3 linked regions of the Stegostoma tigrinum genome follow. The protein of the gene in region 1 purifies or fractionates together with the protein of each later gene. This does not show direct contact. Links are inferred from orthologs where the notes say so. Each region holds a gene or a part of one and is shown in the gene's direction. Other genes may lie near its edges.

The links. Proteins that work in one complex are often made in the same cells at the same time.
Region 2: the proteins of tnrc6c1 (region 1) and protein argonaute-2 purify together in Homo sapiens (co-immunoprecipitation; 6 studies listed by BioGRID and IntAct, with this or other methods). This does not show direct contact. The link is inferred for Stegostoma tigrinum from reciprocal best matches to the Homo sapiens genes TNRC6C and AGO2.
Region 3: the proteins of tnrc6c1 (region 1) and protein argonaute-3 purify together in Homo sapiens (affinity purification with mass spectrometry; 3 studies listed by BioGRID and IntAct, with this or other methods). This does not show direct contact. The link is inferred for Stegostoma tigrinum from reciprocal best matches to the Homo sapiens genes TNRC6C and AGO3.

What each region holds. Positions count from the first base shown.
Region 1 is NC_081375.1:33,586,280-33,596,859, reverse strand, and holds the start of tnrc6c1 (trinucleotide repeat-containing gene 6C protein), read left to right. Parts: upstream 1-6,327; 5' UTR 6,328-6,575; intron 6,576-9,564; 5' UTR 9,565-9,706; intron 9,707-10,580. UniProt on the Homo sapiens protein: Plays a role in RNA-mediated gene silencing by micro-RNAs (miRNAs). Required for miRNA-dependent translational repression of complementary mRNAs by argonaute family proteins.
Region 2 is NC_081358.1:112,178,054-112,189,755, forward strand, and holds the start of protein argonaute-2, read left to right. Parts: upstream 1-6,367; 5' UTR 6,368-6,597; coding exon 6,598-6,619; intron 6,620-11,702.
Region 3 is NC_081377.1:21,282,888-21,293,666, reverse strand, and holds the start of protein argonaute-3, read left to right. Parts: upstream 1-5,444; 5' UTR 5,445-5,785; coding exon 5,786-5,804; intron 5,805-10,779.

The sequences.
Region 1 (10,580 bases):
CCTGGGAGAAGAAAAATATAGAGAGACTATATAAAATGCTGGGTACGGTTCCAAACATGAAGGAATGGAGAGCGATCTGGATATACATGTGCATAAGGCATTGAAAGGGGCAAGACAGTTTCAGACAATAGCTAATAAAGATAACAGTATACAAAGCTTTATTAATGGGGGGGATAGCTCATTCAAGCAAGGAGGCTATGTTAAATTTGTACAGACAATAGTTCTACACAGTTGTCGGTGCCACACTTTCAGAAAAATGTCAAGAATTGAGAGAAGTGCAGAAAATATTCACAGAACTGGTGCTGGGATGTGGAACTTAACTTAAGTAGAAAATTAGAGAAGTTGACACCATTTTCCTCGGTGAAGAGAAAGTTGAGTGGAGATTTGATTGAGAATTTTGCAATCATAGGGATATGCATAGATTAGATTTTGAGAAACTGTTCCCACTGGTGGAAGAATTGAGAATGAGAGGGCAGAGGTTGATGGTAATCAATGGCAATGTAAAAAACAACATATTTGAGCGGAGAGTAGTTAGGATCAGGAATGGACCACCTTGAGAATTTGGTGAAGGCAGCTTCATTCGATGAGTTCAAGAGGGAATTAGACAGCTATTGAAAAGAATGTACAAGCCCTTGGGGAAAAGGCTGTTGATCAGCAATTGGAAAGTTATTCCTGTGGAGAACCAGCTCAGACACAAAGGGATTGAATTATCAATTGCTATGCTGGAACAATTCTGCGAGTCTAGAATTTGCTTAACTAAAGCTCTATTAATTCTTGCAAAATTAACAAGTTGCATCAAAATCTTCTGGATTGTTGAGGTAAAGGGCACAATGGAAAAGATATTCTGAAAATTTATATTATGTATGTAAGGCATGAGGTAAATATCACTGTTTTCCAAAAGTAACTTTTTGTAATGAATGTAAGACACATGAGTTTCAAATATTAGACCTTCACTATATTTTTCCCCACAAGACAGCTCATATTTATAATGTGCTTATAATATGTCTGAGCATTGAAACCTCTTGTGTGATCTCCTGAGTAACTCCAAGTCAAAACAACCTTGTTTGACCTATACAATCACCAGGCAACCATTTGTACAAAAAGTGAATGTCGTCAAAGTTCAACGTAGAATCAATTGAGTAGGAAGAAAATCTATTAAAGCACTTATTAATTTGCATATAGGCCTTTGGAGTCTACATAAATAACAGAACTGCAGCCTGTCTTCCAGAAGCTGTTTTGAAGATTAAATGTCAGTACTCTTATTACTGTAATGAGTCCTATGGCATATGGATCCAGTTATTAACAATTTCCTTTGTTTCTTTATGTAGAATCATTATTGCTATGTTATACCGGTGTTACCTTTGTTCACTTTAGTTCATTTCAAGACTAAAATTTGGATGATAGACTCTTCCTTCTGGTCAGAGCTCTTTCACGAGCATAGCTATTCCTCCAACTATGAAATAAAAACTGATATTCATCCCTGAGTTGTGAATACATTCCATTCTGGAGACAATTCACAAATCAACTTGTACAAATGTGAGAACACAATGCAGGACAATACAAAATAATAGTTCAATAGTATGAAGAAACATTCTTATTCCAGGTCTTTAAAACTACATCCCTGACTGAAATTGCATCCATAAGCCGAAGTGTTCGTAAGTCAAGTGTTCATAAATTGGGGGCGCTCTGTATATAAATCAGCAATGCAAATATCCAACAAACTTACATGTTATTTTCCTTTATGCACTCACTCCAAAGGTGGAGACAAATGCTTCGTGCAGATTCACACAGACAGCAGCTTCTGGGACCTTACCTGTAAAGGGTCACACTTGCTGCTTAATTTCAAGCCCTTTGATCACAAAAGGAAATGTATGGATTACTCCAACCATTACAGTTTGGCATCACCCTTGTGAAATGCAAATTTAATGTTGCCCTCAACATTTTCAGTTAGCGCATGGACAAAACATTACAAAGGAGTTGTGCCAGTATGAGGAGGCATTGCAAGGACATTTGAAAGTTTACAAGCAGGATTTTGGCTGACTTTAGTACAAGACTCTTACAGAGAAGGTGGGAAGGATTTGCTAGTGTCGCAAGTTATTTTAATAATTGTTTTGAACCTTACCTAGGACATACTGTTGTGGAAAGGCATCAAGAGAGGTGTCAAGGGAATTTCCTGCACCTCAGTACTGGACCTGGATACAGTTGTTCTTCAGAGTACTATCTATTCTGGAGGAGGTTCCTCTTGCAGTCCAGAGGAGATGAGTGGGAGAACAGGCCAGGGCCTGATTCACACTGTGGTTCAGGAGGAATGAACTGACAGTTGATTACGATCCTGTGGAAAAAATCATCATCAGCAGCAGGAGGACAGAGGGAGGAGAAGGCTCTATTCTACCAACAGAGTGTACCAGCAATGTGTGACATACTCCTAAAAATGTCAGAATGCCAATGGCAGAGGAGACTCCTTGAAGTGAAACAGTCACATCTCTGTGTGGCATGTTGGCTGTGGAGATTGACTCAAATTGTGTTCGTGGACTGTCTGTACTTGTGGTGTGGAAGGTCACAATAGTCCTGAATTTTTTGATGTTGAGTTCCTTCAAGTCTTTACCTGGAGACCTTTCTCGGATCCTGCAGCTAGCTACTCATTATCACATGAAGCTTTTCATAGATACAGCGTTCACGTGCCTCCATGAGTTTATTTCATTTAGCACTGACAACACAAGTCAAGCAGATGGTACCAGAGGCTTTGCTAACATTGTATGGTATCCAAAAGTACAAGGAGTCATAGATTGCACATAGGTGACAAATAAAACTCCTTTGGGAAAGCTAGGGACAGTCCTGAGCAGAAAATGCTACCATTCCATTTATGAGCATCTTGGATGTGATCATGGTCAAAAGGTGTGCACTCGATATCTTAGAAGATGTCGTGCTAACATGCTGAGATGCTCCCAGGTGCCAGGGACCTTATTTGTTCTGAACCTTTGGTGGCATATGGGTAACAAGGGAGATCCCCTGAAGAGATGGTACATGACTCCGGTACTGAGCCTAATAAAAGTTTTAAATACATAGAGTGTACTGAAAATGAGATATTGATGTTTGGACAAGTCAGATGGTGTTCGATAATGTTCTCCTGCTTGAGCCTCACTTGTTGTTGTGGTATCGTGTGTCTTGCACAACCTGATGCTCCCTCAGAGTGAGGAGCGGAGTGAACCTCATCATTGAATGAGAATTTGAGGATCAGCCTGATGATGACCAAGTTAAGCCACGCTAGCTACCTGCACAAGTCAGTGCACAGAATGCTTTGTAAGCTGGGGCGATGCAAAATACTCTTATAATGCAAAAACATTTTCACTTCTAATCTATAATTTGGTCCATGACACTATCTTACCTGATCTGCTTTTGGAATCTCCCAGTCATTAACACCAGGACTTCCGGTGCATGTGCAATTGTGACAATCAGAGAGGCCCACTTCAGTACAAACTCAAAAGCATACAGCAGATACAGATCAAAATCAACATCTTGAGTTCACATGAATTTGGTCCTGATCTATTGCTGGCTTGGATTGGGTAGAATTTAAATAGCCTTTTGCTGCTCAGCCTTGGAGAAGTAAACAGTGACTGGACATATACTTTTACCAGTGGAAGACCAGTTTCTGACAAACAATAGATGCAATATTCACCAGTCAATTAACTCACAGCTTTCTTATGATGTCTCAATTTGATATTGTTATTGCATGTTTATAAACTCGAGTATGTTTCTTTTAGCTTCTGGCTTCCTCTGCAAGTAAGTAAAAGTTCCCAAGACTGGTTTAATTAATTTCCTTCCCACTACTCTTGGTTCCCATCATCTCTGCTTGTGCTACTGACTCTCTCTTTTCTCTCTCTCCATGCAGTTGGCAATCACCTATCAAGCAATAATCACACTCTCAGAGAATAAGTGACCTGAAGAAGTACTGAGCAGTCTCTCAGTGGCCAGTGCTGGAGGTCTTCAGAGTAACTAATCAAAGGCTTTCCAGCTTGTCAGTTTTACTGAAGGAGGCCTTTAGGCTATGCGCTCATCTTGCTGACCCTGCTGAGTTGCTGACAGTTTAAAAAAAAAACACAGATTTTACAGTTGGAAATCCAAGATTCAAGGCTTAAGATCCTTATAATTGGTTATTCTACAATTTCTCTAAAATTTCTTAATTACTTCCCCATCCGATTCAAGGGTGTCCCTTGCTCTCCATTATTGTGAGCAAGGGAAAGTCAGAGCAGGATGGTGTCACATCCATATCCCATCGCAAAGTCAATTTCTGAAACTTTCCCAACAATCCAACCTGCCCCCAAAGGCCTGAGGAAACTCAGTCTACTTCATTGGTAAGTTTTTTTTCCCGTAAATGCATGGCTTCTGATGTTGACTGACCAACATAACAGAAGCTGTATATTTTTCAATTTTAACATTATCTGAAAAGAAAAAGCCCCTGATAAATAAGCAAAATAAAGGTGTAACAGTATATCTTTTGGTACTTTACTGAAAAAGAATGACAGGTTGTTTGAGCGTTTGTGAAAAATATGAACTAGATTAATTTGTAAGATCTTTAATGTGTGCTGGCAGAATAATTGATAATGATGGCTGTGTGGATATTATGTCTTGTGTAAGGGGAAATGTAAAAACCACAGATGAGACACAATATAAGTTCAAAATTATACCTGTGTGTGTGTGTGTGTGTGTGTGTGTGTGTGTGTGTGTGTGTGTGTGTGTGTGTGTGTGTGTGTGTGTGTTTGTGTGTGTGTGTTAGTATGTGCGCCAATTTGACAAAATCACAAGCTCAAAGTGCATAAACATCTAATGGGAAGTGTTTTGTTTCCTTAACAGATGCCCAAGCAAACTATTCATTTCTATGTTTCAATCCATGAAATATGAACTAATTCCCAATCCTAGGGAAAAAAATGAATCCATTGCTTTTGTGCAGGGATGTAGCTGATCTCAACTGCCTCAATGATTTTTGGAATGAAGTGGCATAAGGTGGTTTGTTATTTAAACAGCAGGAACAAGAAACCTGTCAGATTCTGAGAATTAATCAGTGCTAATCGTAGAGGTTTGTCAACAGAAAATGGTCATTTTTTAATGTTCAAGAGAATAAAGGAAGTATAAAGAATTAGTGAGTGAGCTACTGGCTCATTTTATTTGTGGTAAGCATGAGTTAGATTTTTCAGGTTTGCACACATCAGGTGGTGTGAAAATTTAGAAATAGTGCATGTTCTGAGATATATCAAATTTAAATAAGTTGTTTGAATGCACTAAATAAATTGACCAAACGACAAATTAGAAGTAAATGGCTAAATACAAATTATTTCATTTCTTTTAGTTATATGTTGAATTTCTACATTTTAGATTTAGTATGTGCCTTACCAATGAAATTTTCCTTTAATATTCTCCCATATAAAAGCTCCTAATATTTAAAGTCACAACATAATACTGGAATAAGAACAGCATGACTGTATTCCATTCAGGGTGTTTTTGTAAGTATTTAATTTTTTAATTCATTCCACATAATTGAGATGTGAATCAAAATTGCTTCCTTTTTTAGCAGCTTGAAGATCACTGCTATTTATATTTGTTTACCACCTTCCAATAGTGATGCTGTTAAGAAAATTGTAGAAGTCCTAACATGCACATCACCATTGAAATATGATTTTTAAAATTAAATTTGCATTGTTTGCATTAAGAGCCCTTTATTGTTTAGTGTTATTCTGTTTATAAAATGGCTGCTGCATCTCTCCTCATTTCTGGCTTGACAAAATGAGACATATGGCATCACGTCTCATTTTGCTCTGTGCACAATCATTAACAGTATCTGCTTGCCTTTAGGTTAGCCACATAGATTTGCCAGGTTTGTACTGTAACTTCCAGTGGGAGAAACAAAAGAGTCCCCTCTCGTTCATTTACAAAGTGGTGCTTTGTAGCTTCACATGATTAATTAACGTACCGTTCAGCACAGTACAAGGCTGGCATACTACAGGTATACAAATATGCTGCAGTACAGAGCGGATTACGCACAAAACATTTTTTCACAGAAGCACAATTTGACACTGCTGGGAGTAATCAAATCCTGGACATAACTATGGTAATTGCTAATTTGCAAGTGTACAATTGTTTCGGAGCAAAGTTAGGCAAATTTCCAACTCATAGCGGGTCACTAGATTTCCTTGAAAATAGTCGCGTTGGTAACAAAAAGCTTAAGGAGGCAAGGGCTTCCCGATGGTACATAAAATTAAAAGTGTGATAAAATGGCCAACATCATTAGTATTTTCGCAAGTGTGTTTCATCGAATATTTTGATGGTGTGAAGTAAGGATGTGTGCTGTGGCTGCGTCAGCCTGTTTGAGTGTGATGTATTCATTTTGCAGTTGGCTGTTGCAGCCTGTATTGCAGAGCTTATGACCTGCTTTCACATGCAGCAGATTCTCCCATAAATTCTGATTCATATCCAGCAGCTGAATCCTGGGTCTTGCTGGATATTCTTTATTCGCTTTGTTTCGATTTTGTCGCCTTGAGCTGAATAAACTTCACGAAGCTGATGCCTGGCCGATCTGTGAGGTAATTTAGCGCTAATTAATTAGTGATGGTTGCAGAGTGCGCAGGAATTTCAGCCTGGCCTCATTTTTTTTTGTTTTTGTTTAGTCCACTTTTTTTGTACAGTATTTTTGTATCTGTACCTCAGTTTGTGATTACTAAATTCCTTCCCGCACGGAGACCAAGTCGAAGATATAGAAAGAAAGCAAAAGTGAGAGTTTCAACAGTCTACGCGTGCTTTCGCTTCTAATTTTCCCACCCGTTGTTAATTGTTTCATCGTTTTGAGTGAACCAGTTTTGCAGCGTTCAGCTGTTTCCACATTTTCACCTCAAGGCCCTATGTTTGGCTATTCAGTCGAGCAGTAGGCTCATTGCCAAGTTAGCACAATGAAGAATGGCAATATGCAGATTTGTCTTGTCTTCATTAATGGCAGCTGTAGAAAAAAAATGTTCAAGAGCTGATTACTGATTACTTAGAATAAGACCGTGGGAAAATCGTTGTCTGGTTAACGTATCCTACTGTGTTTGCCATAAGCCTTGCATCCAACATGGCTGACAAGGTTACCCTCCTCAGATGATCTCAATGCTGCTCTTTAAGTAGATTCTGCGCTGAAGCTTTTTGTCGCTTTAGTATTTGAGATCCATTAGGTAGGAGCCGAGTGCCTTCTCCATTACAGTACACTGTTGAACAACTGCTCGTCTTACTGATGCGAGCTGCCGGCGTGCACTCCACTCGCCTGTTTTGCATGTGTAATGCGACTGCGCTTAATGACTGTGAGTAATTATGCCAATCAAAGTTTGTCTGGCCTGTGATTTTTGAAAGTTAGCCAGTGCTGGGGTTAAGTTGGCACAGCAACTGTTGTTAGGGGAGCACTGAGCCTCTCACAGCAGCAGCCAGCTGAATTGTAATAAGAGAGTTGGCATCATTCCAGATTCCACAGCATTCAGAGGTATGGTATATTGTGCACGGGGAACTGGCTAATTAATCTTCCAGCAGGGAAGAGTGTAGCTTCAGACAATTATAAAGCGGAAAGGAAGATTAGAATAGAAACTGCCAGCTGAAGAAATGTTGATGATTTTGAATGATAAAGCTGGCATAAATAATGCACTTGAGTTAATTTAATGTAGATGTTCTGATGCTGTTCCATGCATTGACAAATTTGTTTTATTCTTTTTATAGGCAGCAATTAAAGAGCAGGAATAAAAACACTCAAACCTTCTTTTAACCTGGCTTACATGATTAGATTGTTTTAGAGCCCAGCACAGGATTGGGATACCACTACAGTATCTGGAGGTGTGTGAACTTGGTAGAATGGCTTGGTCTTCTATATAATCTGAGGAACTTTTTCTAAGAAACTATGCATTAAATAGTGATTGTTAACACTGACAACTGAACTCAGTTTGTAGATTTTGATAATTTCCCATGGCTAAACAAAATTAAAGATAATTTTTAAGCAGTTTTCAAACACATGATGCTGTAGTGATGTGTTGTGAGAAAATACAACAGACATTCTCAGAATACCTCATTCAATATTTATATTATTTATTTAAAATGCAGAGTTTATCCATTCTGGTTGTATACAGTGGCAATAATAAATCACTATTGTAGGAGGGAACAAGCGTGAATAAAGCATTTGTTTTTGCTATGTCAGTCAGTGGGGCTCTGTTCAGTTGTTTGGGGCCCAGCAAAATGGACAGTCATGCTCCATCATCTTGGTGTGTAGAATTTGGCAAGCTAATTAGTTTACTTCCAATGTGTAAATATGAAAGTATATCAGCCTGATCTAATAGCACTTTTTTTATAAAAGCGCATTAGTCTTGAAAGTTTTCAATAGTTTGCGTACCTGATATGGAGCCAATTGTTTCAATGTTGTGCTAATTAAGTTGTGTGTGCAGGAATACACATAAGGTTTATCCTGCAGTTTTTCAAAGAAGTATCATTTGTCATAGCTGATGCAAAGCCAACCTCTACAGGTCACAAGTTTTCTGACTGCAAAAGGCACAGGGTTGCTAGCAACTTCCTTGAAATATAATTACAGTGAATAAACCTTAATTTGATCTTTCTCACTACTAGTTAAGTTTGACCTTATGTAGCAAAGGAATCATGTTTCTTTCGAGTTAGCCATTGTATATTTCGGAAATGGCATCTCTAGAGACCCACCCTAGTCCCTTTGTCTTCAAAATTGATATAATAGAATTGTAATATTCAATATATGCCAGGTTAAATATTTGCAAAAGTAAAATTAGCGAATCTGACTTGATGCATGTTCTCCAATCATATGTTTTATGTACAATTTCCCAATCACATTTTAAAAGAAAACAGTTGGAATAAATTGAATGAATGTATAATACATACATTCATCAATCAGTATGATTGTTTTATGGTAAGCAGAAAGTTCATTTAATGTAGCTCGTAATATAAGTTGGCTCTTTTAACAGAGTGATGTTAAATTCTGTTATGCTGCTCAGGAAGTATGATAGTCCCTTTTCTATTTGTTACCTTGTTTGATGTGAATATTTTTAAAAGAAAAATTAATTAGCTCCACTGAAGACCAGCTATGATTCCTATGACCTGACAGGTGCTGATTGTGAGGAGAAGCTGGCTGATGAAATCAGATGCATTAATTAATAAGCATCACTGCAGATAGCATTTACACAGTGCTGCCTTTGTACTCAGAAAAAAAAGAATAGATTTGACTTTGGAAACATTTCCAGTTTGGTTTCTAACTTCTGGGACTGCTATTACAAATTCACAAAGCAAATTTCAAGAAATGGTGAACAGTGCACTCATGTTTTTTATGACTCCTTGTTAATGAGACTGTGGAGAAACAAACAAGATCAAGGTTTTTTTCAGAGAAAATTTGCATCTCATTGTGTTTCATTTCTGGATGGGAACAGGAGTTCAAGACTTAATTTAGGTGGCCACTAGAACACCTATCCAATGCCACTGCGGTTCAGGTCCTCTTGAGTCATCCCTGACAGCAATCTAAAACAGTTCTTTCGTCCTTTTCAGATTCTGATAAGGCTACTATTGACAGAAGTAAGAATGCCTTAATGAAACTGGTGAAAACCTTGCAGAGCTTTCGATATATACCCCTCCTTCTTGAAAGTATGATCATTGACCTGCAGACTATGCTTCACTGGTCCACAGAAAAGCAAGTATTTACTTGTGTCAGAATTGTAAATAGCCCAATTCTAGGAAAGTCAATAAAATTAGTATTTTATTTTTCTTGCCTTGACCTTTTGTGTTAAAAACAGGGTTAGAGAATCAAATATAGCAAAACACTGAAGTAGCTACTTAATCTTCAAGTTCTGTGTGTGGGAGTCTTTAAAGTTTAATTCTATAATTCTAACCTTTATATCTGAACTCAGCTGGTGAAAATTCAATGCAAATGTCAGTGTGGGTAAATTCTGTAACAGCATACCCTGAGGCATTTTGCATTTTATAGCAAATTTGAATTTTTTCTGGGCATTGATGCATTTATTTTGTGTCAGTGCCAATTAGGTACTGTTTCCCAATTAATGATTCTATTGCAAATAAGCGGATAACTTTGTATTCAATTTATTTATTACAGATGATCAAATGTACTGGTATAGTTACAGAAAGCATTCTTTACTGCTGCTTTTCCTTAAGACCTTTTTTAGCTTGATTTTATTTTCTATAAGTAAGGACGAGGCTCCTATGTATTGAAACTGAGTGTGTTTTCTCTGTACTTGCGGTTGTAGCTTAATTAACCCCACTCCCAGCACATCATTCGCTGGAGAGTATGTACGATGCCCACTGAACCTCCTTTCACTCCAGATAATGAGGTTGATTTAATACAAGTTAATATGCTGTTCCAGATTCATATGTTTTTGTTTCCCTTCCTTTCTTGGGATGCGTACAATGCTGAAAATTGCCTTTTTAATTGTATTGTTGGGCATTTTTTCTTAACAATATCAGTGCAAGTTACAATAATGTTCCAATGATGATATCAAATCAAAAAATTCCAGATAATTAATTTGGTGTCAATGAAAGAACATTGATGC
Region 2 (11,702 bases), on another chromosome or scaffold:
AACTCCTAGAGTGAGATGTGCACCATGCCTTAAGACAGATATATTGGCCTTTGAGGAAGTACAACGTAGGTTTACAAAAATGATACTTGGACTTCAGAGGTTAAGTTATGAGGACAGATTAAACAAATTAGGCTGATCTTCTCTAGAATTTAGAAGGCTACAGGGTGATCTGAAATTAACGGGAAAAGACAGGGTAGATAGATAAACTATTTCCAGTCATTGGAGATTCTAGAACAAGGGACATAGTCAAAAAATATTAAGGCAAGGCCATTCAGGAGAAATGTTGCAAAGAACTTTGTTATACAAAGGATAGTAAGGTTTGGAACTTTCTTCCACATCAGTAGTTGATGCTAGATCCGTTCCTAATTTTAAATCTGAGATAGATTTATTTTTGTTTAGCATAGGTACTAGGGTTTATGGCCAAACGCAGGTATATGGAGTTCAGTCACAAATCAGCCATGATCTCATTTAATGTTGGTACAGGCTCCAGGAGCTGAATGGCCACATATGTTCCTATGGGGTTCAACCCAGAGCCGTTGCTTACAGTAGTAATAAGCTAGAACTCATATATAAAGTGGCATAATAGAGTTTCAGAACCACAAAAAGAAGCGTTTTGGCCCATCATGTCCAGATCAGTCATCAAGCCCCTATCTCTATCTATCATTTTCCAGTATTTGGCTGTAGCCTTGTATGCTATGGTACTTCAAGTAATCATCTAAATATTTCTTAAGTGTTGTGATGGTTCCTGCCTCTTCCATCCTTTCAGGCATTTGGTTTCACCCACAACACTCTAGGTGAAAAATAAAATCCAAAATCCTCTTTAAACCCCCTGCCCTTTACCTTAGACCTTTGTCCCGATTACTGATCTCGATACAAAGAGAAAAGTTTCTTCCTATTTATGCCCCTCATAATTTTGTACACTTCCATCAAGTCTCTCCTAGGCTTTTTCTGATCTGAGGAAGACAACCCAGCCTATCTGATCTCTCATCATAGCTGAATTGCTCAAAGCGATACCCTGGTGAATCTTCTCTACACTATCACATCTGGTTTGGCAATCAGAACTATATACAGAGCTCCAGCTATGACCTTACTGATGGGGAGCATCTGTGACCAGTTCAAACTGGCCTTGGGAGCAAAGGTAAATCGAGGCAAGAACGAGGTCATATTCTTTGGGAACTAGGCTGAGCAATCCACCATCTCCTTCATCATCACACTGCACTACTGCAGTCACCTGAGCCATCTTCCACTTCATCTGGAGGTCTAAAATGGACCAGGTCTGCAGGGACTCCATGTACAAAACTCTGGACAAGGGGAGGGAAGAATGTACCCAACATCACCCTCATCCTGATGGTCAATTTTGTGTGCAACTGCATCAAACTGTGTGTAGGCCCTTGGTATGCAAACACCAAGCGTCACTACATACTGAGGTTCTACATGTCCCCAGTGTTGCAAAGGATGGGACTGGCCTTGTTGCTGTTCAATACTTCAAATAGTTGGAACATTTCGTATCACCTGTCCTTTGTGGAGAAATTTCCAAAGAAAACCACCTTTGACCACATGTCCATTAGGAAGTGGTCAGCATATAGCATCCTTGACACCTGAGGAAAAAAGACAGAGTGTATCCTATCGCATGGTTCCCTGAGCAGGCTGTCAAAGTCATTTAGCAGAATGCCTCATCACCTTTCCAACAAGCACCAAGAAATTTCTTGGCTGGTGGTGAGAAGGGCACTATCCATCATATCCTTCATGTAAGCCAGGTCGGTTGGTGTCACTGCATGTTGCCCTCAAAGCAGATGTGGTGGAGGGGGCGGTGCTTAGACTGTCACATATCCCTTGCTGGAATGTGCCTTTGCAAAGGGTGTCCAGAGAAAGATGCAGTGGTTTTTGACAGGGTTTGTCCACAGCAGGTCTGTGCTCTGTGATCTGTTCCCCAGGATACACATCGAGACAAACATTAACTGCATCTGGCAGACCATCAAAACGGTAAAAGACGTTCTTTGGTCTGCCCGAAACTTGTTGGCCTTCCAGAACAAGGAGTTGACCTCAACCAAGTGTTGCAGGCTGGCATGTTCCCAAGGTCCAGGACTATGTGCTGAGGGCCGCAATGGAGCCTGGTGTAGCTGCCACCAAGGCACACTGGATAAAGCCATTGTTCTGAGGTCTTCCTGCTGAAGGTAAGTGGAGGTCCATTCAGTTATCTCACCCTCCTGATACCTCAATGAATGTAAATGTGGTCTTGTATGTGTAAGAGATGTCTTTGGTTTGTTTGGACACAGACAAACGCCAATGTTTGTTTATTTCCTCAAAATGTTACTTTACAGAACCAAAGAAAGCCTTTGACAGGATATTGCACATCTACATCAGGAATGTCCTCTCCAAAATGGGCTTTAGGGAAGAAATCCACAATTGGATCCAACTGCTATACATCAAATTCAAAGGCTTTGGAGAGGGCATGGAAAAGTTTTACCAGCATGTTGCCTGATTTGAAGGGTACTACAAGGAGAGATTTGACAAAATTGGTTTGTTTTCACTTGAAGGATGACCTGATAGAAGTTAACAAAATTATAACAAGTGTGGATAGAATGCATAGTCAAAGTCTTTTTTTCCAGGGTAGGAATGTCAGTTACTAGATAACATAGATTTCAGGTAAAAGGGGGAAGATTTAAAGATGATGTGAGGGGCAAGTTCTTTACACTGAGGGTGGTAAGTTCCGGGAATGGAGGTGATAGAAATAGATACGATAGCAATGTTCAAGAAGAATCTTGATGGGATATGACTGCATAGAGGCAATGGTTTTTAGTTTAGAAAGGCTTCATGTGTTGGCGCAGGCTCGGTGGACTGAAGGGCCTTTCCTGTGCTGTTCCGTTCTTTTTTCTTTTAATATCAATAGCACAGTCTCAATTGATGGGTGGGAATCAAAAGATTTCCTGATCATATCTGGAGTTGGGCAGGGCTCCTCTCTCTCCTGCCTTTTTTGTGTTGCACAGAGCCTTTTGCCGAGTCCATCCAGATGGATTCAAGCCTGGGAGGGGTGACTCTTCGAGGCAGTAGAAAGCCTCCCTGAACAAGGATGACTTTGTACTGGCATCAGGAGCCAAAGTAAATCAAGGCAAGAGTGAGGCCATTTTCTTTGGGAACTGGATCAACTGATCCTTATCCGCTTTACCATCATGCCAGATCACCTGAAGATGTTGGGAATATCATTCATTTAGGCCACGGCGTGTGCTAAAACTTGGGAGGAGCATATTGCCAAGGAAAAGTAGAAACTAGGCAGATGGGAGCACCAGCCTCTCTCTCTACTGGAGGTAAAAGCCTGGTCATCAGGTGCGAGGTAATTTTGGTGTTGCTGCACATGGCACAGGTCGGGCCCATTCTCCCAGCCTTGACCACTGCAGTCACCCGAGCCACTTTCTCTGGAGATCAAAGATGGATCATATTCAGACATCATGTACAAAGCTCCAGATTGGCAGAAGGACATACCCAATGCCAACCTAATCCTCATGGCTAACTTTATGTGCTCTGCATCAAACTGTGCGTGGACCGTCAGTAAATAAACACCATGTATTATTACATACTGAGGTCCAAACTGCCCCTGGTGTTACAAATGATAGGCCTGACCTCATTATTGTGTGGTTTCCCAGAGCAGACTGTCAAACCTATTTGGCTGAATGCCTCATCACCAGAACTTGGCAACAAGCACTAAACTGTAACTTGGCTGCTGGCAAGAAGGGCACTAAGAGTCATATTCTTCATTTTCACCCAGACTCTCTCCGACACCACTGCTGTCCTTGAGGCAGCTGCGGGGGTAGCAGAATTCCGTGCTGTACGGGCACTGAGACAAGTATTGACCGCACCTGGAAAACATCAACTCTTGTGAAAGATGTTCTCTGGTCTGGAAGAAATCTGTCAGCCTTGCAGTGTAAAGAGTTGATCTCGAAAGAGTGCTACAGGCTGGCACTTTCCAGGTGCAGAACTACACGCTGAGGGACTCACTAAAACTTGGAGCAGCTGCTGCCAAAAAGCAGTGAGGAAAGAGCACCATCTAAGGTCTTTCTGCTGAAGTACAACAAGGATCTAGAGTCATAGAGTATTACAGCACAGAAACAGACCCTTCAGTCCAAGCTGACCATAATCCCAAACTAAGCTTGTCCCTTTTGCCTGCTCTTGGCCCATATTCCTCCATACACTTCTTATTCATGTACTTATACAATTGTCATTTAAACTGTTGCCGAATCCACTACTTCCTCTGGATGTTCATTCCACACACGAACCAGTGTAAATAATTTGCCTTGTCTCTTTTTAAAATCCTTTTCCTCTCACCTAAAAAATACAGTTCCTAGTCTTGAAATACACCACCCTTATCCATTGACCTTATCTATATTCCTCATTATTTTATAAACCTCTCAGTTCACCTCTCAACTTACTACTCCAGTGAAAAAAATCCCAGACTGTCCAGCCTCTCATAACTCAAACCCTCCATTCCCGGCAACATTGCGGCAGATCTCTTCTGAACCTTGACCAGTTTAATAATATCCTTCCCATAATAGAATGAGCAGAACTGGACACAGTACTCCAGAAGAGGCTTCACTGCTCCCTGGGTAACCTCAACATAACATATGATTACTATATTCGAAGGTCTGAGCAATAATGGCAAACGTGATATATGCCTTCTTAACCACTTTATCTATATGTGATGCAAACTTCAAAGAATAATGTATCTGAACCCCTATGTTTCTCCGCTCTCCAACACTGCTCAAGGCCCTACTTTTGATTGCATAAGTCTTGTCTTTGTTTGTTTCACCAAAATGTAATACTTTGCATTTTTCCAAATTAAATGGGTCAGTTATCAGATCCTGTCCTTGCCTCAAAATGTATGTAAATAGTTATCTACTATGAGTAGAAAATGCTTTGGTTTTGCAACTGTAGGCGAGCTCTGAGGAAGGTCAAAATTCCAATATGTATTTTCTCTGCAAAGACTTCACAGATCTTTTAGAGTCAGAGAATCCCTGAAGTGTGGAAGAAGACCATTCGTTACAACAAGTCCACACCGACCCTCCGCAGAGAATCCCACCCACACCCACCCCTTACCCTATCCCTGCGTTTCTTACCCTGGACACTATGAGCAATTTACTGCAGCCAATCCATCTAGCCTCCAAATCACTGGACTGTGGAATGAAACTGGAACACCCGGAGGAAACCCACGCAAACATGGGGAGATCGCGCAAACTCCATACAGGCAGTCGCCCGGGGCTGGAATCGCACCCGGGTGCAATTTAAAAAACATCATAAGTTTTTAAAAACTGAAAGAACTGCGGATGCCGTGAATCAGGAACAAAAACAAAGTTGCTGGAAAAGCTCAGCAGATCTGGCAACATCTGTGAAGGAAAAAAACAGAGCTAATGCTTTGGGTCCAGTAGCCCTTTTTCAGAACTGATGGTGGTTGGGAAAGCAGCAGTTTATATGCAGAAAATAAGAGACGGGGGAAGGGGTAGGGAGCAAATGATAGAATAGAGCCCAAAGAGAGAGGAGCAGTTGGACAGTCAACAGTTGATAATGATCAGGCTGGGAGGGTGAATAATGACTAATAGCAGGTGGTGTGTGATGCCATGGTAACAAGGTCTGGTGTGTGGGGTGGGGGTCTGGGACATGGGAGAGTTTAGGTCCTAAAATTATTGAATTCGGTATTGAGTCCAGAAGGCTGCAAGGGGTCCCCAAGTGGAAAATGAGGTGTTGTCCTTCTGCATTGAGCTTCGCTGATACACACCAGCAAGCCAGAGACAAGAGATGTTGGCCAGGGAACGCGGTGGTGCTTTAAAGTGGCAGGCAACAAGTAGTTCAGGGTCTCTTTTTCTGAGCGGAAGGCAGATGTTCTGCGAAGCGGTCACAAACTTCATCGGAAGTTTTTAACTGATGTCAAAAAAAGCGCATTCTGCAGTGGCAAAAGGTGTTTAAAACCAAACAGCCCTCCAGCCTGCTCTGCCTGATCAGTCTCTCCTCACAAACACTGCTGTTTCCCGTGATCTTTGATTCCCCTCCTGATCGGGCATCTGCCCAGCTCAGCCTTCAACGTTACACAGGCATTTTGCCTCCACAGCTCTCTGTTTCTCGACACGTACACTCACATTCACTCTCCCAGTTACTGTCATACTACAAAAACGCACAACCACATGGGTGGAATGCCCAACCCGCACTGGAGGTCCGACCTGTCGAGGGCGCATGCGCGCTACACGTTGGCGCCCTCCGCTGGCTCGAATGGCGGGCGCGCGCGCGGGAGGCGGGAGGCGCGAGGCGTTTGCGGTCGCGGGGTGGGGGAGAGGAGGCGTAACGTTCGGGCGTACGGCGGCGCGCTGGGGACCGCCTCCTGCGCTTGCGCGTTGCACCGCCCGTCAAGTGTCTGGCCCGGGGTTTTCTGTCCCCGTTTCACTATCCTTCCTCGTATGTCCCCCATCTCTCCATCGGGAATTATTAATGTTTTTCTTCCTCATGAGTGCTGTTTTGTTCCTGTTTGTACTATAATTTTACATAAACACGGGGGAGGGGGGAAGGGAAACTCTCCATCTCTTCTCAGCCAGCTGCTTCCCTCCCCTTTAAACGAGGATGTATTCCGCCGGCGAACCCGGTAAGCTATTGCTTCACGTTTTTTCTTCCTTTTCTTAAAAAAAAGTTTTTCATCGTTTGAAGTGGCGCCTTACAGAGGTCTGAGGAGTTTGATGTTGCTTGCGGCCACCCTGTCTCTATTGAGGCCTCATCCAAGCCTGGGACTCGGCTACGAGGAGTGCCCCAGGTTGAAGTTGGAAGGGTGACCTGCTGTAAACCGGGCCGTGTTCTAGCTGCCAGCTTTGCTGTGCTGTGGGCTCCCCTCGCGTTTGGAAAGTTTCCGTCTTTCGTTCTCTTCCGTCCACCTTCCGCTCCCGCCCCCGTGAACTTTATAAATATAACCATAAAGGCGATACTTTGCTGTTTTCATAAATACAGTAAATCAGGACTGCGTGGGGTTATCACTGTCAGCTGTTCCCGTGGTTCAGCTTCGAATGGACGTAAAGCCTCTGTAGTACTTTCCCACTCGGATTTTAACTTGCAGCACTCAAGATGAGAGGAGTCGGGTAATTGTTCTCACTTCACTCCTAAATTACTGGAGGAAGTAAACTAGGCTGGATGGTTTGACAAAGCCGACAATGAAAGAAAACAGATGCAAAAGTGTCGCGAACAAAAACAGAAGTTGCTGGAAAAGCTCAGCAGGTCTGGTAGCATCTGTGAAGAAGAAAAAAAAATCAGTTAACGTTTCGGGTCCGCTGACCCTTCCTCTGGTCCGAACTGAGCATTTCCAGCAACTACTATTTTTGTTCCGGATTTACAGCTTCCGCAGTTCTTTCGGTTTTTAGATGCAAACGTGTGTTACTATGCGGATGAGAGAGAGAGGAGCGTTGTACTATAGTTGGATTTCTGTCATGCGTTTTAACTTAACGCTTGGGAAAGGTAAACGTAATTTTTTAAGAGAATAAACTGTGCATTATTGAAATATACAAAAAGTCCACACTGAGCTTGATCTCGTAATGATGCGAGAATGGTCTTATTTTTGATTCTTTTTTAACTGTACTCTGAATCCTACTAGATGACAGGTGATTTTGACCATCTTGGACTTCAAAAAAGATTTATCCATTTATCCCTATACCCTCTCAAGTTTTAATTAAAATCTTTATCCACTTTCTTTTATCAATGTAGATATGCATAGTCTGCTTACATCAACTGTAAATTATCTTAAATCTATACCCATTAACTCATTGAGCATTTGAAATAATTTATTTCTGTTTATCCCTCTAAAACTGTGTGTAAACTTAAGGAACAAAAACAAAGTTGCTGGAAAAGTTCAGCAGGTCTGGCAGCATCTGTGAAGGAGAAAACAGAGTTAGTTTCAGGTTCAGTGACCCTTCCTCAGAACTTAAATAATCATCTAACATACTCTTGAATACCTCATTGAAACTGGCTCCAACACACTTGCAGGCAGTGTATTCTGACTGACCAGCTCATTGCCTGAAAATGTTTTTTTTCTCACATCTTCTCATCTTGTCATCCACCTTAAATCCGTACCCTTGCATTCTTGATTCTTTTGAGTGGAAACATTTACTCCCTATGTACTTATTCAGCACCCCTCACTATTATGAAAACTTCTGTGATCTTTTATCTTTATTCCTTCCAAGGGGAACATTCCCAAGCTGTCTAATCTTTCCTTGTAACTGAAGTCTCATCCTTGTAAATCTCTTGTACCCTTTCTCCAGTGTCACCCCCAGAACTTTATCCAGCTTTGTGTGTTTTGATACAAATTCAGGATCATCTCCTTACCCTTGTACTCTGTGACCCGGTATAAAACTCAGGATACTGTATGCTTTAGTAATGCGCTGTCCACCTGATCTTTAGTGTTAATTATATGCTCACATTAAGATCCAGGTCCCTCTGCTCCTGCCTATCTTTTAGAGTTATACCCATTCTGTATTTATATTCTTCGTATAAAAATGCATCACCTGCAATCTATTCATCCTTGAATCTGTCTATGATTTATCACTGTTCCTCACGTTTTAAAATGCTTCCAAGTTTTGTATTATCCCCTGCACACCAAAGACTAGATCACAAATACATATCTGGAAGAGCAAGGGTCCCAATACTGAACCATGGGGAACTGCACTACAATCTTTTCTTCCAGAAGATATTCATTGACTATTTCTGTTTGCTTCCAATTAGTCAGCTTTTTTAAAATCAGTAACATACTGTAAGCAGATCATGGGAGTAAATCGACATTTTAAGTCTACAGACTATGACTAGTGGAGTGGTGCAAAGATCAGTGCTAGGATCTTGGCTATTTCCAATCTATATTCATGATTTGGATGACAACACTGAGTAATGTATCCAGGTAGTATCATGAGTCAAAGCTATGTGTGAATGCAAGCTACGAAGGTCAAAAATCACACAATACCAGGTTATTGTCCAACAGGTTTATTTAAAAACACAAGCTTTTGGAGTCTTACTCCTCCTTCAGATGTTAGTGAGAGAGGTAGTAAGATTCCAAAAGCTTGTGTTATCAAATAAACCTGTTGGACTATAACCTGGTGTCATGTGTTTTATGACCTGGCCCATCCCAGGCCTACACTGGCATCTCCAATCATGGAAGCTGTGAGTCAGACAAGTTAATTGAGTGAGCAACAAGGTGGCAGAAGGAGTGTGTCGTGGACTGGACACTATCCACTTGTCTGAAAACTGTCTTCCTGGCCAGATCCTGTGTTCTCAACCCTTGAATGGCCAGTATTCCAAGGGTGGAAAAACAATGTGAATCAGAGCTACTGAAAAGTTCTCCTTGATATGTGGCAGCATTGATATTCATGATAGGGACTACTTCATTATCAGTCTTGCAAAATGACACCAGCTGATCCATCAAGCTTTGATCCCAAAAGCCTTAATCACGAGGCACAGCAGCTGCAGGGAATGTGAGTGGAAGCAATTTCTGTACTCTGGATTCCCATACCACCTCGGACCTCCTGTTGCATGTGATCAGAGATCTGCAGGTCAACAGTTGGCCAGTTTAATTACATGAAGACCTGTAACAGAAACTTGCAACTCTGATTGATAGTTGACATCCCCAAATTGAAGGACAATTATCAACGGTGATATGGTGAAGTGAGATCATTCACTTTGGTGATGAGAATAGAAAATCAACACTCTTATCAATAGGTGCAGAACTTGAGAGTTGATGTTCTGAAGACATTGGTGTACCCATGCAGGCAACATAAAATCTTAGAATGTGGGACAGCAAGCAATTAAGAGAATAAATAGCATGTTGGCCTGTAATGGAAGAGGATTGACTACAGGAGTAATGAGCCCTTGTTACAATTGAACAAGGCTTTGGTGAGACTTTGTCTGGAATATTGGGTGCTGGTTTGCTCTCCATATATAAGAAAGGATAGATTTGCATTAGAGACAGAAGAGTGGATGTTCACAAGATTGCACTCATCTCAGGAGCAATTCTACTTTTGAGAGGCTGAGGAAATTGGAACCTGTGTTCTCTGTGATCAAAATGAAACATAGAAGATTGTTAAGGGGTTGATTCAGATGGGCAATGCGGGGTTTCCTCCCCCAGCTGTGAAATCAAGAACATGGGTCACAGTTCCAAAACAGGGCAATCATCTAGCACTGAGATGAGAGAGTTCCTCATTTAATAGATTGAATTCCAAAGATTCACATACTCCAGAGGGATATAGGTGTATCATGGTTGAATATATTTAATACAAGAGGTGGGCAATTGTTTGGTGCTGCAGGTGTGGGCAAGAAAGTGAAGTTGAAACCTTAGGTCATCGTGATTATGTTGAATGGTGGGGCAGACTTGGCAAGCTTTCTCCTGCTCTATTTTGTAATGTTCTTATTCCCTCTGTGGCTTTGACAGCTTTTGGCTGCTCACTTTAGAAAGAGTAAATAGACAATTCTAACTGGCTTTATTTCTATAGATTTAGCATTTTCTGCTGGCTTTTGTAGTCTACTACCATTTTTAAATCAGAGGATTCCACATGCTTCTTGCTACGAGCTTTCTAAATTTGCTGTTTTAGGGTTGCAGATGTGTGTGTCTTTAAATTTATATTCTTTTAAAAGTGTTAGCATTTGTTTATTTGTTCTGTCCTTGTTCCATCACAATGTATTGCTGCATGTTCTCTACATTTTTATCAATTATCTATCTTTTCAATGTTATTATACCTGCCCTATTCCTTGAAATTGATCAAAATTAAACACATCTGTTTTCAGTGATAAATTGAGATTGTGCCTCCCATAACCATCTTCATGTTTTTTGCTGCATGTGAGAGAGAACTTACACTTGTAAAACAATTTTTTAAAGTCTCAATGTCCTATAAGTATCACAGCCATAAACTATTTTTAGCTATTGTTTTTAACTGCTGTTAGGCACACCATGCCCTGTTTTCCCATTATGCCAGTGCTCATTGACTCCTGGTCCACGAATATGATGATTTTAAAATCCCACTCCATGTTTAAATCTCGCCAGAACTTTGCCCTTCTGTATCTCTGCATCTTCCAGTCATCAAAACTCTTACCTTTTTTCTATCTCCCACCTCTTAGCAACTCCCACTTTTCTTTGTTGACACCTAGTCCTGAATGCCCTGATTCCCTTCACAAACTGCTTTGCCTCTCCTCTTGTCTTCAACAAAGATTCCGCTTGAAACACACCCCCTTGATTAGGTATTTGTCCTTAAATACCATTCCTCAGTTCAGTGTGCATTTTCTTTCTAATTATTCTCCTGTGTAGCTCACTGGAATGTTTAATAAACAATTAAAAGTCTCATTATTTTTTAATTAAGACTATATGAATTTAGGTGATGTTCTCAAATGCAGCATCCAGTCTATGAACTGGAAAGCACTGCTGCTTACATCCCACTCAAGAAACTGTTGACCACTTCCGCTTTCTTTAGCCAATTCCTTTCACAATTCTATATTTCCTTTACCTTAATTTTATCAGGCTTCCAATTGAAGGCTTTTTGAATATCTATTCACATAATACCCACTGAATATCCTTCTTCATTCCAGTTACTATTTCAGAGCTAAAATTTGTCAGATATTTTCCCCCACTCGTTTGACATGGATATTGCTGACTGGGCCCGATTGCTCGTCCCTAGTTGGTGGTGAACTGCCTTCATGAATCAAAACTGAAA
Region 3 (10,779 bases), on another chromosome or scaffold:
TAAAGTTAAAAGTTCCAACTTGTAATCCTTTAGCTGTGGGTCTGCAGTTGTTCCATACTGGGCTATCTCTATTCGATAGAGAGGAGTTTAAAACTATGAATGGGTTCAATAGAGTAAATCTAGAGATTATATCTTCAATTGTGGGGTGAGATCAGAACTAAGGAACACAATGACTATCCTATTCTTATGAATCTAAAAGGGAATTATTTATCTCATTTATCAGTAATTTTTTAGGGTGTGAAACATGCTATCCCAAGTTGTAGTAGTACAAGAGATGTATTTACTTCCCCAAGTAAATGTGAAGAAAGAGAAATAAAACGATCTCTCAATAGAATTAGATGAAGAAAGGTGCAAGGTTTGGCTGGAGAATTAAAGCCAGCATGTACCTGGTTGGATTATTTCTGTGTTGTAATGATTTATTGTGGATGGGTTTTTCAGTATACATTATTATGGGATCAGTGTCAAGTACAGCACTTGTCCTTTTAAACAGCTGACAATTCCTATGAAGGTTTATAGAGTATTATTTCTGGAATTTACCAGTGAAATTGCATTCTATTCTGACCCAACCAAAATCTATCACATGGTATGACAAGTTGTATTATTCTTTGATATTTGATATTTATTTGATATTCTTTGCCATTTTGATAGATCCCCTAACGAGGATTATGTAAGTTGGCAAACAGGAGTTCTGGAAGCGTTTAAATCAGACTGAATTATTAAAGGCTCTGTAAAGTCGCAACACTGGCAAAAACCTATTTTCTGATTTCTACGTACCTAAAGAGGTGATGGGCCTTCTCTTAGAACTGCTCATCCCACATTGCTGTCAGATAAATAATTCAGTGGTCTGATCCAATAACAATGAAAGAACAACAACATATGTAGCCAAGATAAGGTGTAGAGCTGGATGAACACAGCAGGCCAAGCAGCATCAGAGGAGCAGGAAAGCTGATGTTTCAGGCCTAGATTTTTCTGATTTTCTAAAGAAGGGTCTAGGCCCGAAACGTCAACTTTCCTGCTCCTCTGATGCTGCATGGCCTGCTGTGTTCATCCAGCTCTACACCTAGCTATCTCAGATTCTCCAGCATCGACAGTTCCTACTGTCTCTGACACATACATCCAAGTCAGGATCAGAGCCCTAAGGGAACTCTGGTGTAGAGGTTAATATCTTGAGTTTCTATATTACATCCTGTATGCCTAATATGCTGCTGCCATGGTGGATGTTAAATCCAGGGAAAGGGATACCAATTAAGCAAACTTCTGCTCTCATCTTTGTGGGTATGACACCCATTCAGATCGGTGAAGAATCAGTTGAGTCTTGTAAACGGTGAGGTGATGGCCTAGTGGTATTATCAATTGACCATTAAGCCAGGGACCCGGGTTTGAATCCTGCTATGGCAGAAGGTGAAATTTGAATTCAATAAATATCTGGATATTTATCTCGCTGCTTAGTGATCAAATAACGACCATGAAACCATTGTCAATTGCCAGGAAAAACCCACCTGGTTCAATAATTTCCTCTAGGGAAGAAAACTGCCATCTTACCTAGTCTGACTTACTCTCAGGACAATTAGAGATAGACAGTGACACCCATAACCTGTAAATGAATAAAAGAAAGTGAATAAAACTTGTAAGGGGTACAATGAGCCACTCATTGCAGAGTACATTACCTCTCTATCTTGCTTGCATTGACATAAGGGATGATATTTAATCCAACAAACAGGAATCTTACCTACTAACTAAGTAGTGGCTAGAGCTCCCTGTTACCTCATTTGGATGGAAATTATTGCCTTCTCCAATGTTTGAGACTGACGTAGTTCAACTTTTAATTAATGCTGACCTCTTAGGAACAGAAGCTTGTCATTAGTGATGCTCTGAGGGTCACAAAAGCATAGCTAAGATTTGTGTCATTTCAGTTAGCTTACATGCACCAATGGTATTGGTTTTAGACAATCACAGATGACTTTATCAAAAAAGGAGAGTGATTTAAACACTGACCCAAGTCATTCTTGGCCCTGCTATGCCAGTGGTCAGACAGAAGATTGAGATGCAGGAGACGGTTCTTGTATTGACATTCTGAATCTGGGATCACTGCTTTGAACAATCATCTTTCTCTAGCATTTTTGATGAAATGATGAGATACCAATGTTACAAGATGGCATAGGAAGTAGAATCACGGCTTTAGTTCTGATTTATTTTTAAAGAAACCCCAACAAACATCTGCAAAAACAATTTTTGCATAGTCCATTCACCCGAAAAATCTCACGCAAATCAGATGAAATAAAATTTTAATCATGGATCATTGTAAACAATGTAATCTTTATGTTAATAGCATTTCAGAGCAGAACTCACTGTGGAAAATAACATACAGCTTGGTTAAAGTACTTTCAAAAATTATGTTCAACCCACTTGACCGAGTTTTTTTTTTGAAGAAATATGAAGAAAATTGATGAGGGCTGAGCAGTGCATGTGATTTATATTGACTTCAATAAGAATTTCAACAGGTAGACTGGTTAGCAAGGTTAGATCACATGGAATGCAGGAGAACTAGCCATTTGGGGACAGAACTGGCTCAAAGGTAGAAGACAGGGTATTGGTGGAGGATTGTTTTTGAGACTGGAGGCCTGTGACCAACAGCATGCCACAAGGATTGATGCTGGGTCCACTACTATTTGTCATTTATATAATTGGACCCCATTTACACAGCTCACTGGCATGGAACAGCTGCTAAAGACCGATCATACCTTGACAATGATATCCTACATCCTCTTCCATCAGGCAGAAACTTCAAAAGCCTGGATATTTACACCACCAGGTTCAGGAACAGCTTCTTCTGGCATATGCCGTTAATAGACTCGAATGGACTCTCTAACCTCAAATAATGCTGATTTTGCTAACGTTGATCTTGCCTAGCACGCACCCTGTGCAATGGAACCTGGTTGCCTTCAATCGTTTTACAACCTCACCTGTACATCCTTGCTTACTATGATCTGCCTGAATTTCTCAAAAACAAAGCGTCACACTTGATAATAAAATGCTTTGGACATGAATACAGGAGGAATGGTTAGTAAGTTTGCAGATGATACTAAAACTGGAAGTGTAGTGGACCGTGAAGATACAATGGGATCTTGTGCGGATGGGCCAAGGAATGGCAGATGGAGTTTAATTTAGATAAACGTGAGGTGCTGTAGTTTTGGAAAGCAAATCAGGACAGGACTTATACACTTAATGGTAAGGTCCTGGGAAGTGTTACTGAACAGAGAGACCTTGGAGAGCAGGTACATAGTTCCTTGAAAGCAGAGTCAAAGTAGAAAGGATAGTGAAGAAGGCATTTAGTACGCTTGCCTTTATTGGTCAGTGCATGGAGTGTTGGAGTTGGGTGGTCATGTTGTGGCTGTAGAGGACATTAGTTAGGCCACTTTTGGAGTACTGCATGCAGTTATGGTCTTCCTCCTATAGGAAGGGTGGTGTGAAAATAGAAATGGTTCAGAAAACATTTACAAGGAAATTGCCAGGGTTGGAAGGTTTGAGCAAAAGGGAGAGCCACTGGGGCTATTTTCCCTGGAACATTGTAGACTAAGGGGTGACCTTAAAGCAGTTTATAAAAGCATGAGTATAGATAGGGTAAATAGACAACGTCTTTCCCTGGGGGGGGGAGAAAGAGTCCAAAACTAGAGGACATAGGTTTAAGGTGAAAGGGGAAAAAGATACAAAAAAAAGGGACCAAACAGGCCACTTTTTCCACACACAGGGTGGTGTGCGCATGGAATGAGCTGCCAGAAGAATTGGTGGAGGCTGGTACGATCACAACATTTAAAAAGGCATTTGCATGGGTATATGAATAGGAAGGATTCTGAAATAAAGATAATATTTAAAATATCTTGAACTTGGGTTGAATAGCCAAAAGGAAAAAAGAAATAAAATTTTAGAAAAGTTTGTTGTTCTATCAAAAGGCCGTCAGTCTTTAATATTAGAGATAGTAGGAACTGCAGACGCTGGAGAATGAGATAACAAGGTATTAAGCTGGATGAACACAGCAGGCCAAGAAGCATCGGAAGGAGGATCTAGGCCCGAATCGTCAGTCTTCCTGCTCCGTTCATCCAGCTCTACACGTAGTAATCTTAAATATTAGGTTTGTTGCAGTCTCCAAGAAGCAGCCTGACCTGATCACTTCTGGCATTTCCTGTCTTTGTTTCATGAAATTGCTGTTTTAATTTCTTAAGATTGAGTAAAAGCCTTTTTCTAACTCTCAAAGTGAAGCAGAAGGCTCATACCCACATAAATACTTCTAAGAGATGGTGAAAGGAGGCTGGCAATGCAGTGCGCCCTTTCACAACCCAGCTATTTGAATACTTCCTAGTTTACCTACGATCAGTACAGCCAAGAGCAATTGGCTAAGTCAAAGCAAAGTCCACATCTCACCCTCTAGTGGCCGTTTTCAGAGAGGCTTCTGGAAAAAGGCTCGAGTCTTCAACATGTGGGTTATGCAGAGAGAAAATATGTTTAGTGTATTCAGACTTTTTAAAAAAATAGCTAAAAATATAGAAACGGTATACAATGTCGTTACTGCGCAAGGATAAAGATCCTAAAGCAAGGACGCACACGACAGTATCGTCTTATCATCCTGAGATTATGCGGATGCTTCAAGAAGAATACCAGCTGTTCCCGAGAATTTGCCATACACCCTCCCCCTTCAAGTCTGTAATTTACTTAATCCTCCACACGCTTTTGAATGCCAGGAAAGTGTAGTAAAGAGTGGCCATTTGTTATTGGCAGGACAAAATCACATCTGTTCTTATTTTATACGACTGAAGATCCGAGCCTTGCCTAAAACCTATCTCATCACACTGGCTGAATAACTATCGTCGGTAATCACTCGCTAACGAGTTTGATGATGCACCGAATTGCTCGCGTACTTTTATTGCTCAGCCTCGGGAAACATTTTCACCGATTCAAGTGCTCCTGCTGCGCCGGGCACCTGACTTCGTAGTCCTGGGTTCTCATTTTGCTAACTCTACGAAGAAGGCAGAGAGGCCCTTTATTACAGCCATCTGAACTCGAAAGAAGCCCCGAAGAGAATAGCCGGTTCTGGGCGTTACTGGAAAGAACATTCATTGCAAAAATAAAGACAGGTTTTTAAGTCTAGAATTTGGTCGTGAAATCAAAGCAGAATACATGTAAACTATTCGCCGTATCAGTTAAACAAAAAAAAAGAGAGACCTGAAAGGAAATCAGTTGCGGCTCCGCCTGGCAAAAGAGAATCAAAAATTGTACCTTTAAAAATAATCCTCAGGGTGGGGGAAGTAAAACCTTGCGTTGCCCTAGAAACCGGTTTACAAAATGTCGGGAGGGAGAGGATCACGTTGCCGTAGTGACGTTTGCTCGAGAAACGTAGGAATAATTAACCCAGGGTCGGGAATCGTCATTTCCGGCGGTTAAAAGACGATTTTTCCGGTTGGGAAACGCCGTAGACGAGGGAGAGTGAAAAAGACGAAAGCGGTGGAAAATAAAGTGGAGTGTGAGCGGGGCCCAAGTGATCACGAGGAGCAGATACCTCTTAGTCCGAAACCAGCCTGCACGCTTAAGGGGATCGTCACCGTTTGGTAAAAGCGAGAGTCCCCGCCTGTATTTTACAGCTAGGGAGGAGCGCCCCCCCCCCCCCCCCAGGCAAAGATCTACACCGATCCGGCTGACCATCCCTCCGACATCGAAGCGGTTCACCCGCCGGCCGGTACTGTCCGTCAAGAGGCCGCTGAAAACCAAGCCTGTGTAGGAAGGGGCTCCATGAATGGAAATCGGAACCCCAGGTATGAATAGCCGCTGCACTGGATCCCACAAGATGCTTGAACCTGCCCTTAAACGGCGGGTGGATAGATATGGGGATTGAGTGCGGCGAAGGCAGTAGCGGCCAGATGGACACAAACCCTCATAAAACCAGAGGAAATAGGGAACCGGGGAGATATTTATAGACGGGTTACTGGAAAGGTTGAAGCCAGACTTGAAGTAGATGGAATCGAAAGCCTGTAGTCTGCTGACCTTCTAAAAGTGGGTTTTCTGTACCTTGTTTCTACAGTTCAGCCTCTTTAAAGACTGTAGTTTTCTCAGGGCTAGAATGAGGAATTTCACGAATCTGCCCAGTAAGTTTCTGTGCGTAACAGCATCAACTCTCTGGTTCGTAGTTGCAAACCAAGTATTGGGGAGAGAGATTCAAAATGATTAAAAGCCTAGAGAGCAAGACTAATTCACGAACTCTCAAAAAGAAACTCAAAATACTGGAAATACTCAATAAGTCTAGAGGACAGCCAATTAATGTTTCAAGCCCATATCTGGAACACAGCTGTTGACTGACCTGATTTTCTTTTCTTAGGCCTTTTCTGTTATACAAGAGAATGTTCTGTACGTCAACATCAAAAATATATAAGAAATGCTTAAGTTATTTCAGTTGTGTAATCAAACAGAAGAGAATGCTCTGACAAATAAGTTGTACAGAATGACTTGAGCAGTGGGGGGACCAAAAGCTTGGTCATAAACATGCTATGAAGGATTTTGGCAATGCAGTGGTAAGGGGGAAATTTACTTCTGTGACCCAGATGCCTGATGCAATTAGGAAAAGCTCCCATAAAATGCTAGAATTAGAAGTGCAGGATGTTCCAGAGTAGAAAATAAAAATGGTGGAGGATAAGTCCAAGATGAGATTTTTAATGAGCAAAAGTGAAGGATGCAACGCTGAAATCTAATACAGTGAAAGTTATTTGGTTTGACTGAGATGGTAGTAACTTGACGGGCTATATGCATTGGCGATGTCAGTCAAATTTGTAATATTTCAGTTGCAGGATTATTTGATTTGTAAGCTTTAGTTTTGTTTTATCGCAGTTTGCCTTCCCAAAACAAACTATTCATGCTTGCCTGCATTTGATCCATATCCCTTCAAATCTTTCCTATTCATGTACTTAAGCAAATGTCCTATGAATATTGTAACTGTACCTGCATCCATGACTTCAAGTATGAGCTACTCTGTTTAAAAAAGAAAGTTCCCCTCGTCCTTTTTAAATCTTCCTCCTGTCACTGTTAAAATATGCCCCCTAATTTTGAACACCTCCACAAGAGGGAAAAGATCCTTGCTGTTCACCTTATCTATGCCCATCATGACTTAATAAACCTCTGAGGTTGCCCCTCAACCACCACCTCCTCCAATGGGGGATAAAGGTCCCATCCTATCTTTATAACTCAAGCCTTCCATTCCCGGCAGCACCCTTGAGTTGTTTTCATATCCTTTATGTAGCAGAGCGACAGAACTGTACACAGTATTCCAGAAGAGGCCTCACCAATGTCCTATACAATCTCAAGATGATATCCCAACTCCTGGACTCAAAAGTCTGAGCAATAAAGGCAAGCATGGTAAACGCCTGCTTAGCCACTGTTGAAGTGACGCAAATTTCAAAGAATTATTTACCTAAACCCTGATGTTTCTCGGTTCTAGAACACTACCCAGAGCCCTACTAATAATTTTGTAAGTCTTGTTTTACCAAAATGTAATACCTCACATTTATCTAGATTAATTCCATCTACCACTCCACAGCCCTTGATCCAATTGATCAAGACCTCTTTGTAATTTTAGATAATCACCTTTACTGTCCACTATAGCACTAATTTTTGCCTCTTAAATCCTCATCCAAATCATTTTAAATAAATGATAAACAAAAATGAACCCAGCACCGATCCCTGTGGAACACTGCTGGTGATGGGCCTCCAGTCTGAAAAACAACCTGCTGTACCACCCCATTCACATGCCAGCCTATCAACCTCTGCATCCAGCATCCAATCCTCTGCCACCTGCAATCCGGCCCCACCACCAAGAGATATTTCCCTCCCCACCTCTATCTGCCTTTCATAGGGACCGCTCACTCCGTGACTCCCTTGTCCACTCCACACACTCCTCCAACCTCACCACACCTCTCACTTTTCCCTGTGACCACAGGAGGTGCTACACCTCCCCTCTCACTGCCATCCAGGGCCCCAGACAGTCTTTCCAAATCTGACAGGGATTCACCTGTACATATTCCAACCTGGCCTACTGTATCTACTGCTTCCAATGTGGTCTCCTCTACGTTGGTGAGACTAGTCACAGACTCTGGGACTGATTTGCGGAGCATCTGCTCTCTGTACGTTCTAATCAACAACGCCTCCCAGTTGTCAGCCACTTTTACTCCACCTTGGAGACTTGCCCCTCCTGGGCCGCCTCCAGTGTCACAATGACGCCACGTGCAAACTGGAGGAACGGTACTTCATATTCTGCCTTCAGAATTTACAGCCCAATAGCCTCAACACAGAATTCACCAGTTTCAAAATCGCCCCACCCCGGCCTTATCCCATATCCAACCTCCCCCTCATCCCCGCCTCCTTGACCTGACTCAACCTGTCCACATCTTTCCCACCTATCTGCCCCACCCTTCCCACTGACCAATCTCCACTTCCCCCTACCTGCATCCATCTGTCAACATCCTACCTACCTTCCCCCAACCCCACCCCAACCTCCCGTTTATTTCCGAGCACTCTTACCCCTCCCCAGTACTGATGAAGTCAACTTTGCTGAGCCTCTGATGATACCTGACCTGCTGTGTTCCTCCAGCCCCACATTGTATTCCCCCCCCGACCACCCTTCACCACACACTGTCTCATCTGATGTCAAGCTCATCTTGTATTTATTTGGCAAGTTCACCCTTAATCCCATATAATCTAATTTTCTAGTTCTTCTACCATGCGGAACCTTGTCAACGGCTTTACTAAAGTCCATGTAAACAACATCTACAGCTCTGCCCTCACCAATATCTTTGGTTAGGTCCTGAAAAAACTCAATCAAGTTTGTGAGATACTATTTCCCTCACAGTCCTTGCCTCTCCAAATGCATGTAAATCCTGTCTTTCAGAATCACCTCCAGCAATTTACCAATCGTCAATGGCAGACTCTCAGGTTTATAGTCCTTAGGTTTCTCATGACAGCTTTTCTTAAATAAAGGCACAACATTAGCCACTCTGCAGTCGTCCGGCACCTCTCAAATGATACAGATGTCTCTGCTAGAGGCTCTGCAATTTCTCCCTAACTTCTCACAAGGTCTTGGGATACACTTGATCAGGTCCAAGAGATTTATCTACCTTTTATGTTTTCTAAGACTGCCAGCGTTTCCTTTTCTGTAATGTGAACTGTTTTCAAAACATCAATATTTATTTCCCTGACTTCTCCAGCCTCTACAATAGAAACTGACACAAAATGTCCAATTAGTATCTCTCCCAGCTCCTGAGGTTTAGTACATAGACAACTTTGTTGATCTTTAAGGGGCCCTATTCTCTCCCTAGTTGCTCTTTTGCTTTTAATGCACTTGTAGAATCTCTTTAAATTTTCCTTACCCTTGTCTGCTAAGGCTATGTCATATCTCCTTTTTGCCATCCTGAATTCCCTCTTAAGAATGACCCAACACCCTTTATTCTCTTCAAACACTTGGTAATGTGAATTGAAAAACGCCAATGCAAAATAAATTGTGCCCTTGCTATGCAGAGTGCTTTTTTGAAGTATTTGTGTACATGGAGGAGATTTGATTCATCAGCTGAGGGAGGGCAGTATCTTGCTTTCAGCACAATATTTCCTTAGCCATTTTTGAGTTGATTCCATGTCCCCATTTCATTGACATTAGTACTGTCATTTAAAATAATGAAAGATTAACACTTCTTGCAGTATTTAAAAATTGAGGGTTTTGTGAAGTGTAATTTGGAGAAGCAGTATTGACTTATCACATGGTTAATTCTTTGAAATGTTTAGAGGCATTTACAGTAATTGTTTAATGGTCATCTTGGGTAACAAGGGCATTGTAAATGGCTGTTTATGCTCATCTTTTAATGCATTTAGTTGAAGTTGGCTGCTAGTGGTTTTTGTTTCAAGTGAATATATAAATTTGTGTTGCTTTTAGTTTGTGCAATTCCTTGTGTGCTTTCCAAATAAGATAAAAGTTGCTTGGATTACATCTCTGACAATGTGGTTTCTTACAGTAGTATCACTGACGTGCTTGGTGTCATTGCTACAAAGTTACGTGCAATTATTTGATGAATTGATAAAATTTAACATGGTTAGAGATGGACTTGCATGTAGCCTGAAATAATTAGAACAATTAGAAAAATGATCTTGTATTGAAATGGGAAGTTAGGTATCATCCTGTATTCTAGCAGGTGATGAAAAAGATCATTCTGACCCATGCCAAACATTTTCATACAACTAAACTGTTAAAAAGACTTGTCAAGTTTATAGTTAAATCAAATTTCTATTAAATCTTCCTCCTTTTAGACTTTCCACATACCTTATCTGGCCCAGTAATGTTGTAAGTGAACTATGAGGCGTTCCAAACTCTGTCGATGTGTACCTGAAATAGTCACAAGTATGTGATGGGTATTATTCATTTATTTTCTTCCCATCTGTTGGCAGGGTGTCTGAAATTTGACTTAATTTACTACTACACATCCTCATGGGTTGATTGATTTTATTGTTGTCATGTGTACCGCGATATTATGTGCAATACAGGCAGATCGTACCATACAGGGTAGCCGAACAGCATACAGTGTTGTGTACAAACTTTTACATCTGCCTGACAGAAGAGGGTGGAAGAGCATATACCTGGGGTGGGAATGGTCATTGATTATATCGGTTGCTTTCCCAAGGCTGCAGGAAATATAGGTGGAGTAATTGGTCAGAAGGTCTCACTTATGATATATCACTGTCTGTTTCTTCCCATTCTTT